2 linked regions of the Xenopus tropicalis genome follow. The protein of the gene in region 1 purifies or fractionates together with the protein of each later gene. This does not show direct contact. Links are inferred from orthologs where the notes say so. Each region holds a gene or a part of one and is shown on either strand. Other genes may lie near its edges.

Region 1 (4,552 bases):
TACACAGAAAGGGAGCCGGGGGCCCCAGTGGCACTGCAGTTACACAGAAAGGGAGACAGGGGGCACCAGTGGCACTGCAGTTACACAGAAAGGGAGCCGGGGGGCACCAGTGGCACTGCAGTTACACAGAAAGGGAGCCGGGGGGCACCAGTGGCACTGCAGTTACACAGAAAGGGAGCCGGGGGGCACCAGTGGCACTGCAGTTACACAGAAAGGGAGCCGGGGGGCACCAGTGGCACTGCAGTTACACAGAAAGGGAGCCGGGGGGCACCAGTGGCACTGCAGTTACACAGAAAGGGAGCCGGGGGGCACCAGTGGCACTGCAGTTACACAGAAAGGGAGCCGGGGGGCACCAGTGGCACTGCAGTTACACAGAAAGGGAGCCGGGGGGCACCAGTGGCACTGCAGTTACACAGAAAGGGAGCCGGGGGGCACCAGTGGCCCCACAGGGCTTTAGTGACATCGCTGCTGCTGACAGAGAGGGAAGGGACAGGATGAGACAGCTGGGAGTGGGGTTAGAAGGCTGTGTGAGACAGTTACAGCCTATGGTATAACAGGCAGAATTGTTGCCCCAACACACCCCAATATGACAGCCGGACTGGGCTGGGGAGCGGTGCACTGTTTGGACTACCTTCAGATTTGGCAGAGAAGTCGCCTCTCCCACTGCAGTTACAGGTCACTCAGCATCAACCGAGGGGCAGTGAATACAGTGAGTGTGATTGTAGCTTTCCTTCTCCTTTACAGGGGGGGGGGGGGGTTCAGCTCTAATTTAACCGTTAGTATGTTATAGAATGAGCAATGCTGAGCAACTTTGCAATTGGTCTTCTTTATTTATTTCTTACGGTTTTTGAATTATTTGCCTTCCTCTTCTGCCTCTTTGCAGCTTTCAAATGGGGGTCACTGACCCCGGCAGCCAAACCCTATTGCTCTGTGAGGCTCCAGTTTTATTGTTATTGTTACTTTTTATTCCTTATCTTTCTATCCAGCCCCTCCCCTATTCATATACCAGTCTCTCATTCAAACCGCTCCCTGGTTGCTAAGGTAATTTGGACCTTAGCAACCATATAGCTGTTATAACTCCAAACTGCAGAGCTGCTGAACAATAATTCAAAAACTAATTACAAATAATAAAAAATAAAGACCAATTGCAAATTGTCTCACAATATCACTCTCTACATCATAGTAAGAGTTAACCAGAGTAGGTTAGGGGCGGCGCATTTACCTGGGATAAAGGTGCCTGATTGTAATTAGGCCCCGCCCTTCCCCAGTGTAACCAATCCCAACTGGGCCAGCCTTTCCCCATAACTGAGCCCATTCCCTTTATCAGCTTAGTCGCTCACTCACACTGACACTCACACTCACACTCACACTGACAGAGCTCCCTGCCTACAGACACATTGAGAGAACTGCCCCCGTACTAGCAGGGCCCATGTGGACCAAGGAAATGAGAGCCTGACACACCCCCTGGGACACACCCCCTCTGGGACACACCCCCTCTGGGACACGCCGCTTTCCGTAGGACCCGCACAGTACAGTAGTTGGATTGCACCAAAGAGGGAGGGTTCAAGTTAATTAGAGAAACCGGAGACGCAAAACGAATTTATTTCCGAGTTGCTGAATTTACACCGCCCTTAATGATACAGCGGCAGATACTTGGGCCTCCAGGCTGCTGTGTTAGCCCCACATGTGATTGCTACCTCCCCCCGGAAGGGCATTTGGTCTCGACCAGCGTTTGGTGTTTACAGTCTGGGAACACTGGAACGTACCAAGTGGGGAGGGGAGACTCATCTAAACGTCCCATAAGTCTGGCGATTTCCGCATGTGCTTGTTACGCACACTCCCGTGATGCTCTTCCGTAAATGAGATAATTCAGGCCCCGCCTCCCTTTAGGCTTTGTAACCGATCCGGCCCGATTCCGTATTCCGGTTCTGTCCCTCCCCCCCCGCCAGTGGTATCTCCCAGCCCTTTCCCTTCCCGCCCCCAGGCCCCAATCCCCAGTCTGTGAGGAGCCGGCGGGGAGCGCGGCTCGGAGCGTTGGGATGAGGGAGCCGCCATGGAGCGCAGCCCTGACAGGAAGCGGCGATGCCCTGGGCCCCGGTACAGTCTGTTGGCCGAGATCGGGCGCGGCACTTACGGGGTGGTGTACGAGGCCCTGGCCCTGAGGAGCGGGGCGCGGGTGGCGGTGAAACGCATTCGCTGTGACGCCCCCGAGAATGTGGAGCTCGCCCTGTCCGAGTTCTGGGCCCTCACCAGCCTCCGCCGCCGCCACCCCAACATCGTGCGCTTCGAGGAGTGCGTCCTGCAGCGGAACGGCCTGGCCCAGAGAATGTCGCACGGAAACAAACAGTCGCGCCTCTACCTGCGACTTGTAGAGACTTCTCTCAAGGGTGAGTGTGGGGCCCCCCCAGGGGTGAGTGTGGGGTGAGTGTGGGGCCCCCCCCCAGGGGTGAGGGTGGGGTGAGTGTGGGGCCCCCCCAGGGGTGAGTGTGGGGCCCCCCCAGGGGTGAGTGTGGGGCCCCCCCAGGGGTGAGGGTGGGGTGAGTGTGGGGCCCCCCCAGGGGTGAGGGTGGGGTGAGTGTGGGGCCCCCCCAGGGGTGAGGGTGGGGCCCCCCCAGGGGTGAGGGTGAGTGTGGGGCCCCCCCAGGGGTGAGGGTGGGGCCCCCCCAGGGGTGAGGGTGAGTGTGGGGCCCCCCCAGGGGTGAGTGTGGGGCGAGGGTGAGTGTGGGGCCCCCCCAGGGGTGAGTGTGGGGCCCCCCCAGGGGTGAGGGTGGGGTGAGTGTGGGGCCCCCCCAGGGGTGAGGGTGGGGCCCCCCCAGGGGTGAGGGTGGGGCCCCCCCAGGGGTGAGGGTGAGTGTGGGGCCCCCCCAGGGGTGAGTGTGGGGCGAGGGTGAGTGTGGGGCCCCTCCAGGGGTGAGTGTGGCCCCCGGGTAACTGCCCCGGGAGGTACTGTATGGGGAAGGGTACAGTATCTGCACCCTGGGGGTATGTAAGTGGAGGGGTAACTGTATTTACACCTGGGGGGGCTCTTTTACCCCATAGGGATTTACTAAAAAGGGAGGGAGTCTCAAATGTGGCCCCATGGGGGTAACAACAAGGGATCACGTCTGAGCCTGGGTCGGAGTGTAAGGTGACTGCCCCATTGTGGGTGACAGGAAGTAATTGAAGGGCAAGTACTGGGGTAATAGTTGTACCTGCACCCAGGTGGGCACTGAAAGGCTCGGGGGGACTGGCACCCACCCACTCAGTTAGTGCCCCAGTGGTTTGCCTAAGGGGTAACTAGCAACACTGGCAGGTAAATAACTACCCCAGCCACTGGGGCAACTAACTGGGGGTACCTGGGTTAACTGAACCCCAATTGTTCCTAAGTAAGAAAAGTAGCCTGTGGGGTAACTAGCAAACTACTGAAATACCCTGGGGCACAAATACAGTCGGGGGGTTATGTCTTTCTCTGGTACTAGTGGGGGGCCCAGGGGGCACCCAGAGATCTCTAGGGTATTGGGTAACAAGGAGCTTGTGGGGGGACTCCCTATAAAGCTAAATATCCTGGGCAGTGGGAACGGGGGGTTCAGACCGTCGGTGCCCCCCCGGCCTCTCGGTCAGGTGCCCCTAGCCCACCCCCGGCCTCTCGGTCAGGTGCCCCTAGCCCACCCCCGGCCTCTCGGTCAGGTGCCCCTAGCCCACCCCCGGCCTCTCGGTCAGGTGCCCCTAGCCCACCCCCGGCCTCTCGGTCAGGTGCCCCTAGCCCACCCCCGGCCTCTCGGTCAGGTGCCCCTAGCCCACCCCCGGCCTCTCGGTCAGGTGCCCCTAGCCCACCCCCGGCCTCTCGGTCAGGTGCCCCTAGCCCACCCCCGGCCTCTCGGTCAGGTGCCCCTAGCCCACCCCCGGCCTCTCGGTCAGGTGCCCCTAGCCCACCCCCGGCCTCTCGGTCAGGTGCCCCTAGCCCACCCCCGGCCTCTCGGTCAGGTGCCCCTAGCCCACCCCCGGCCTCTCGGTCAGGTGCCCCTAGCCCACCCCCGGCCTCTCGGTCAGGTGTCCCCTAGCCCACCCCCGGCCTCTCGGTCAGGTGTCCCCTAGCCCACCCCCGGCCTCTCGGTCAGGTGCCCCTAGCCCCCCCCCGGCCTCTCGGTCAGGTGCCCCTAGCCCCCCCCCGGCCTCTCGGTCAGGTGCCCCTAGCCCCCCCCGGCCTCTCGGTCAGGTGCCCCTAGCCCCCCCCCGGCCTCTCGGTCAGGTGCCCCTAGCCCCCCCCCGGCCTCTCGGTCAGGTGCCCCTAGCCCCCCCCCGGCCTCTCGGTCAGGTGCCCCTAGCCCCCCCCGGCCTCTCGGTCAGGTGCCCCTAGCCCCCCCCCCCGGCCTCTCGGTCAGGTGCCCCTAGCCCCCCCCCCGGCCTCTCGGTCAGGTGCCCCTAGCCCCCCCCGGCCTCTCGGTCAGGTGCCCCTAGCCCCCCCCCGGCCTCTCGGTCAGGTGCCCCTAGCCCCCCCCCGGCCTCTCGGTCAGGTGCCCCTAGCCCCCCCCCGGCCTCTCGGTCAGGTGCCCCTAGCCCCCCCCCGGCCTCT
Region 2 (4,261 bases), on another chromosome or scaffold:
TTTAAAATGTAATTCCGGGAGAGCCATACAATGGCCGACGGGAGCTAGGCCGAAGCCAGGGCCTCGATTTGTGGCTGCCTGTGGAGGACAATGCGGTTTCAATCCCCTTTCGGCCGCGGATGCTGAGGGGCAAGGTAGGGTGGGTGTCATCTTTAGCTGTTCAATATGGCTTGTTAGTGGTATAACTAGAGGGCTACCTAGCACAGTTGGCTTCTCTTTGTAGCTCCAACACATATTGGCCACATTGTATTTTCAATTTAAGCGTGAACTGACACGGGTTTCTACTCGAATGTTCCTCTCAGTTCCCTGGGCCCTGGTTCAAGTGCAACCCGGTAAGGATGCCGGATGTGGATGCGATGCGGAGGAGAGCGTGGCCTCCGCTTGGCGGATAGAAGATATGTTCTAAGGCTTAGAACACGTCTTCTATCCGCCAAGTGCGGGCCACGCCCCATGTTTTTTGTTTTTTTTAAAGATTTGGCAGCGAGCCAGATTCAGCCATCAAAAGAGCCACATCTGGCTCCCGAGCCATAGGTTCCCTACCCCTGATCTAGAATCTTCAGGTCACAGCCATGCACTCACCTCTAGAGTGTACATAGCCTCTTACAGGTTTCTCTCAATGAGAGGTGCAGTTGTACGGGCTTTTAAACACATATACTGTAGTCCAATGACTTGAAACTTTTTGGCAAAAGCCAATAGGACTGTGACTTTAGTTTCTCCATATCCTTTTACTGCCAAACTTTCTCTTTAAACCTCTGTAGCTCATTTAAAAGCCAATGAGCTTCTGTCATTTATCATTAAATATAACTTCACATCCAGCCAGGAATATACTTCTGGCAGTCTCCTCAATGGTCAAAGTCTTTCTGTATTGCAATAAAACATCAATTCAACAGACAGCCAAGTATAATATGTTCGTAAACTTCGTCTGTTAAACGATACTAGTTTATTTTAGCCATAAATATATATACTTTTATATTAATATAAAGCAAAATTGCAATGTGTTTTTACAAACAATAAATACAGATTAAAATGAAAGTGCACATATTGACATATTAATCTGCCCCGTTGGGTGGGGAGGCAAGTAACTTGCTCAATCAGTTTGGACCTCAGTCAGCAGCAGGGTTTGCCCATACCCAATATGGCCGCGGAGGGCGTCCCTTGCACTAGTTCTAAGCCTGTGACGTCATACGCAGGCCGGCACAGCCAAATTCGTGACGCTGTTTGATAAAGTTTTGGGCGGCTGCTTCTGGGGAGCGGAGAAAGTTTTTTAGTTTAGACAGGTACCGGGTAAGAGGCCGTTCCACATGAGAAAGAGAAAGGTAAGAAGGGTGTCGCTTTGTGGAAATGTTGCTTACTGTCCCATCTATCTGCATTACGCGATCGGCCGCTCCAGTGTCGTATTTACTAGGCTTGGAGAGGAGGGGGATCAGGGTGGAGACGCGGGATAGCCCTGCTGTTTGCACAAAGGCAATTAAATAAGGCACGTCAAATGGCAATTCCGGTACAGGTTCCGTCCTGATTTTCAGAAACCGTACTGCTGACCGGGGATCATGGACGTTGTAGTTTATCCGGGCTTAGCGGCAACCATGACAGACAACCATTGTTATACTATAATAATTACATCTTTGTGGCTTCCCTTAGGCTTCTTTACTAGCAGAAGCTTAGCAGTCTGAGACATTTAGCTTTTGTTGTTAGTGTCACAGTTACAGGGGCTCTCCAGCCTGCAGCCTATCAGGGGATGCTGGGACTTGTAGTGTAAAATTGCTGTGGGGCTGCACTTTTCCCTCAGAGCTGCTGGGTTACTAAGGGTAACTGTATGTGTGTTTTGTGTAAATGTCACTTGGGCTTTACTTTGGGACTTTCTGACTCTGCTTCTCAAGATGCTGGCTAGTGGCTGAGCTGAGGGCTGATATAGAATTTGTGAGTTGTAGTTGCTTTCTGCAGCAAGATCCTTATGACAAATGGTGGTTCAGTTGTATGTAGGGGCCTCAACTCCCCCTGCTTGTTTCTGTGGCCACTTGTTAAAGACTTAATAAAGAATATGTTATTATTGTCAGGCACTACTATGTACTTGGTGATTTAAAGTGATGGTCACTTAAAGTGGTTCTCAACCCGTGGGTCGGGACCCCTTTGGGCGTCGAACAACCCTTTCACAGGGGTCGCCTAAGACCATCAAAGAACCATTGAAGAACACATTTCTGATGGTCTTAGGAATAATTTTATGGTTGGGGGTCACCACAACATGAGGAACTGTATTAAAGGGTCGCGGCATTAGAAAGGTTGAGAACCACTGACTTAAGCTAAGGACCTTGCAGTCATGGGGGCAAGTACTTTGTATTTCCTCAGTAATAGCATCTGCAACAAATACATGTGCCTGTTATCCAGAATGCTCGTGACCTGGGGTTTTCCAGCTACGGGGTCTTCCTGTAATTTGGATCTCCCTCCTTATTCATACCTTAAGTCTGCTAAGAAATCATTTTAATCATTTAAATAAACCCCAATAGTCTCCAATAAGAATAAGTTGCCTTGAGAAGAAACTTCTGTAACTTCGGAAAATTGCCACATATGCCATCCAACCAGCGATTTACATTCTCTGCGGTGGGATGGCATTTCGGGGAGGTTAGTCGCCCACGACAAGGGAGATTTGTTGCGCGGTGACTAATCTCCCCTTCTGTCATAGCCCTTTCAGATCCTATGCCAGTGTCACATTGAGCACAGATTGCATGGCTAGCAAATCCCCTGTATCCAAGTAGTGTTGGCTTTTAGTAGAATCACAACAGGCAAAAAAAAAAAAGGAAAATCAGACTCTCTGGAATAATTTTCCACTTTTTTAGATTTGGCACAGATTTACATGAAAAGTTAGAAATGTACAATGTAGCCGCAACTTCATTGTACATGAGTCTGTTTGGCAGTTATAGATGGGAACAGCTACAAGAACTGTGAGGTTTTTTTGAACATTGCCCAAGGAATTATTTCTGTTTTGTCTAGATACATTTATTTGTGTAGTAGTTCAGTGGCACTAGATGCATACATTTGTTATTAAGATTTTTTCACTGTCTGGCACTGGCTTTTAAAGCCTAATAGAAATTTAAAGTAATTGTCATTTAATGGGTTCTGATTTTTGTTTGTGTTTAGGTATAGATTGTAAGCTCTACGGGGCAGGGACCTCCATCCTCTTGTGTCTTTGACTCTTAACTTATTGTAACTGTATCTTGTATTTATTGTTATACTTTGTATTTATCTATTATTATCTTAAAACCCCCTGTTTGTATTAATGTATTCTACTGTACAGTGCTGCGTACATAAGTAGCGCTTTATAAATAAAGATATACATACATACAGGTATGCATGTAAGTGACTCTGTGCATCCATTGCACTGTGATAGGCAATAAAAGCATACAGTTGTACAGGTATTAGAACCATTTCAAGGATAAAATGATTGTTAACCTCCCACTAAAATAACTTTCCCCCCATGTCCGACAAAGCTCCAAGATGATGTCGCATAATAGTAAAGATCCATCCAATAATGTATATTAAACACAACTGGAAACAATATTATGTAACATATCTTGTTTCCTTTTAAGATCAAAAGAATGTTCATACATTCACTCTTTTTGTATGCCTCCTATAGCAATATCCCAACACCTACATGAGGTATTAAAAATATACTTTCCATCGCCCACTTCCTTTTGTGTTTTGTTAATTTAGAAGTGATGTGTTATAACCACCTCTTTTCTCTGTAGGCAGTTTTTATAGACATGGAGAAAAATGAATCCGCTCTTATGCACATACCCTTGTAGCTCCATTGACAGGACCGGTGTCAGCCTGTGTGGAGCTACACGGAGCGCATGCCGGCATGAAAATGCGAATGTATGCATTTTTTGTTTCCATATCTTTATGGCACATTCACTTAAGTCCAAAATCAGAGATATGTGTTTTATAAGGCATAAGATGGACTGGATTTTCCCCTTGATTTAAGAATGGTTTGCAGTTCATGCATGCCTTCATAAAGAGCCAGCACTACACATAAGAACTTCTTTCAGATAACCTATTGTTTCTCCTACTCCTATGTAACTGGAGTAGTCCCAAGGCAGACTTGGATTTCTTACTATTGAGCGCTATTCTGATATCTTCTGGAAGCTGCTGGGAGGGGGGTGGTATCACTTCAACTTGCAGCTCAGCAGTAAAGTGTGACTGAAGTTTATCAGAGCACAGATCACATGGTTGTTGCTCTCTAGCAAATGAACACGCCTAACCCCATTTG

What was found.
Region 2: the proteins of serine/threonine-protein kinase 35 (region 1) and c1orf174 purify together in Homo sapiens (affinity purification with mass spectrometry; 3 studies listed by BioGRID and IntAct, counting the BioPlex papers as one, with this or other methods). This does not show direct contact. The link is inferred for Xenopus tropicalis from reciprocal best matches to the Homo sapiens genes STK35 and C1orf174.

Annotation. Positions count from the first base shown.
Region 1 is NC_030686.2:888,623-893,174, forward strand, and holds the start of serine/threonine-protein kinase 35, read left to right. Parts: upstream 1-1,518; 5' UTR 1,519-2,053; coding exon 2,054-2,387; intron 2,388-4,552.
Region 2 is NC_030683.2:96,894,877-96,899,137, reverse strand, and holds the start of c1orf174 (UPF0688 protein C1orf174 homolog), read left to right. Parts: upstream 1-1,260; 5' UTR 1,261-1,301; coding exon 1,302-1,316; intron 1,317-4,261.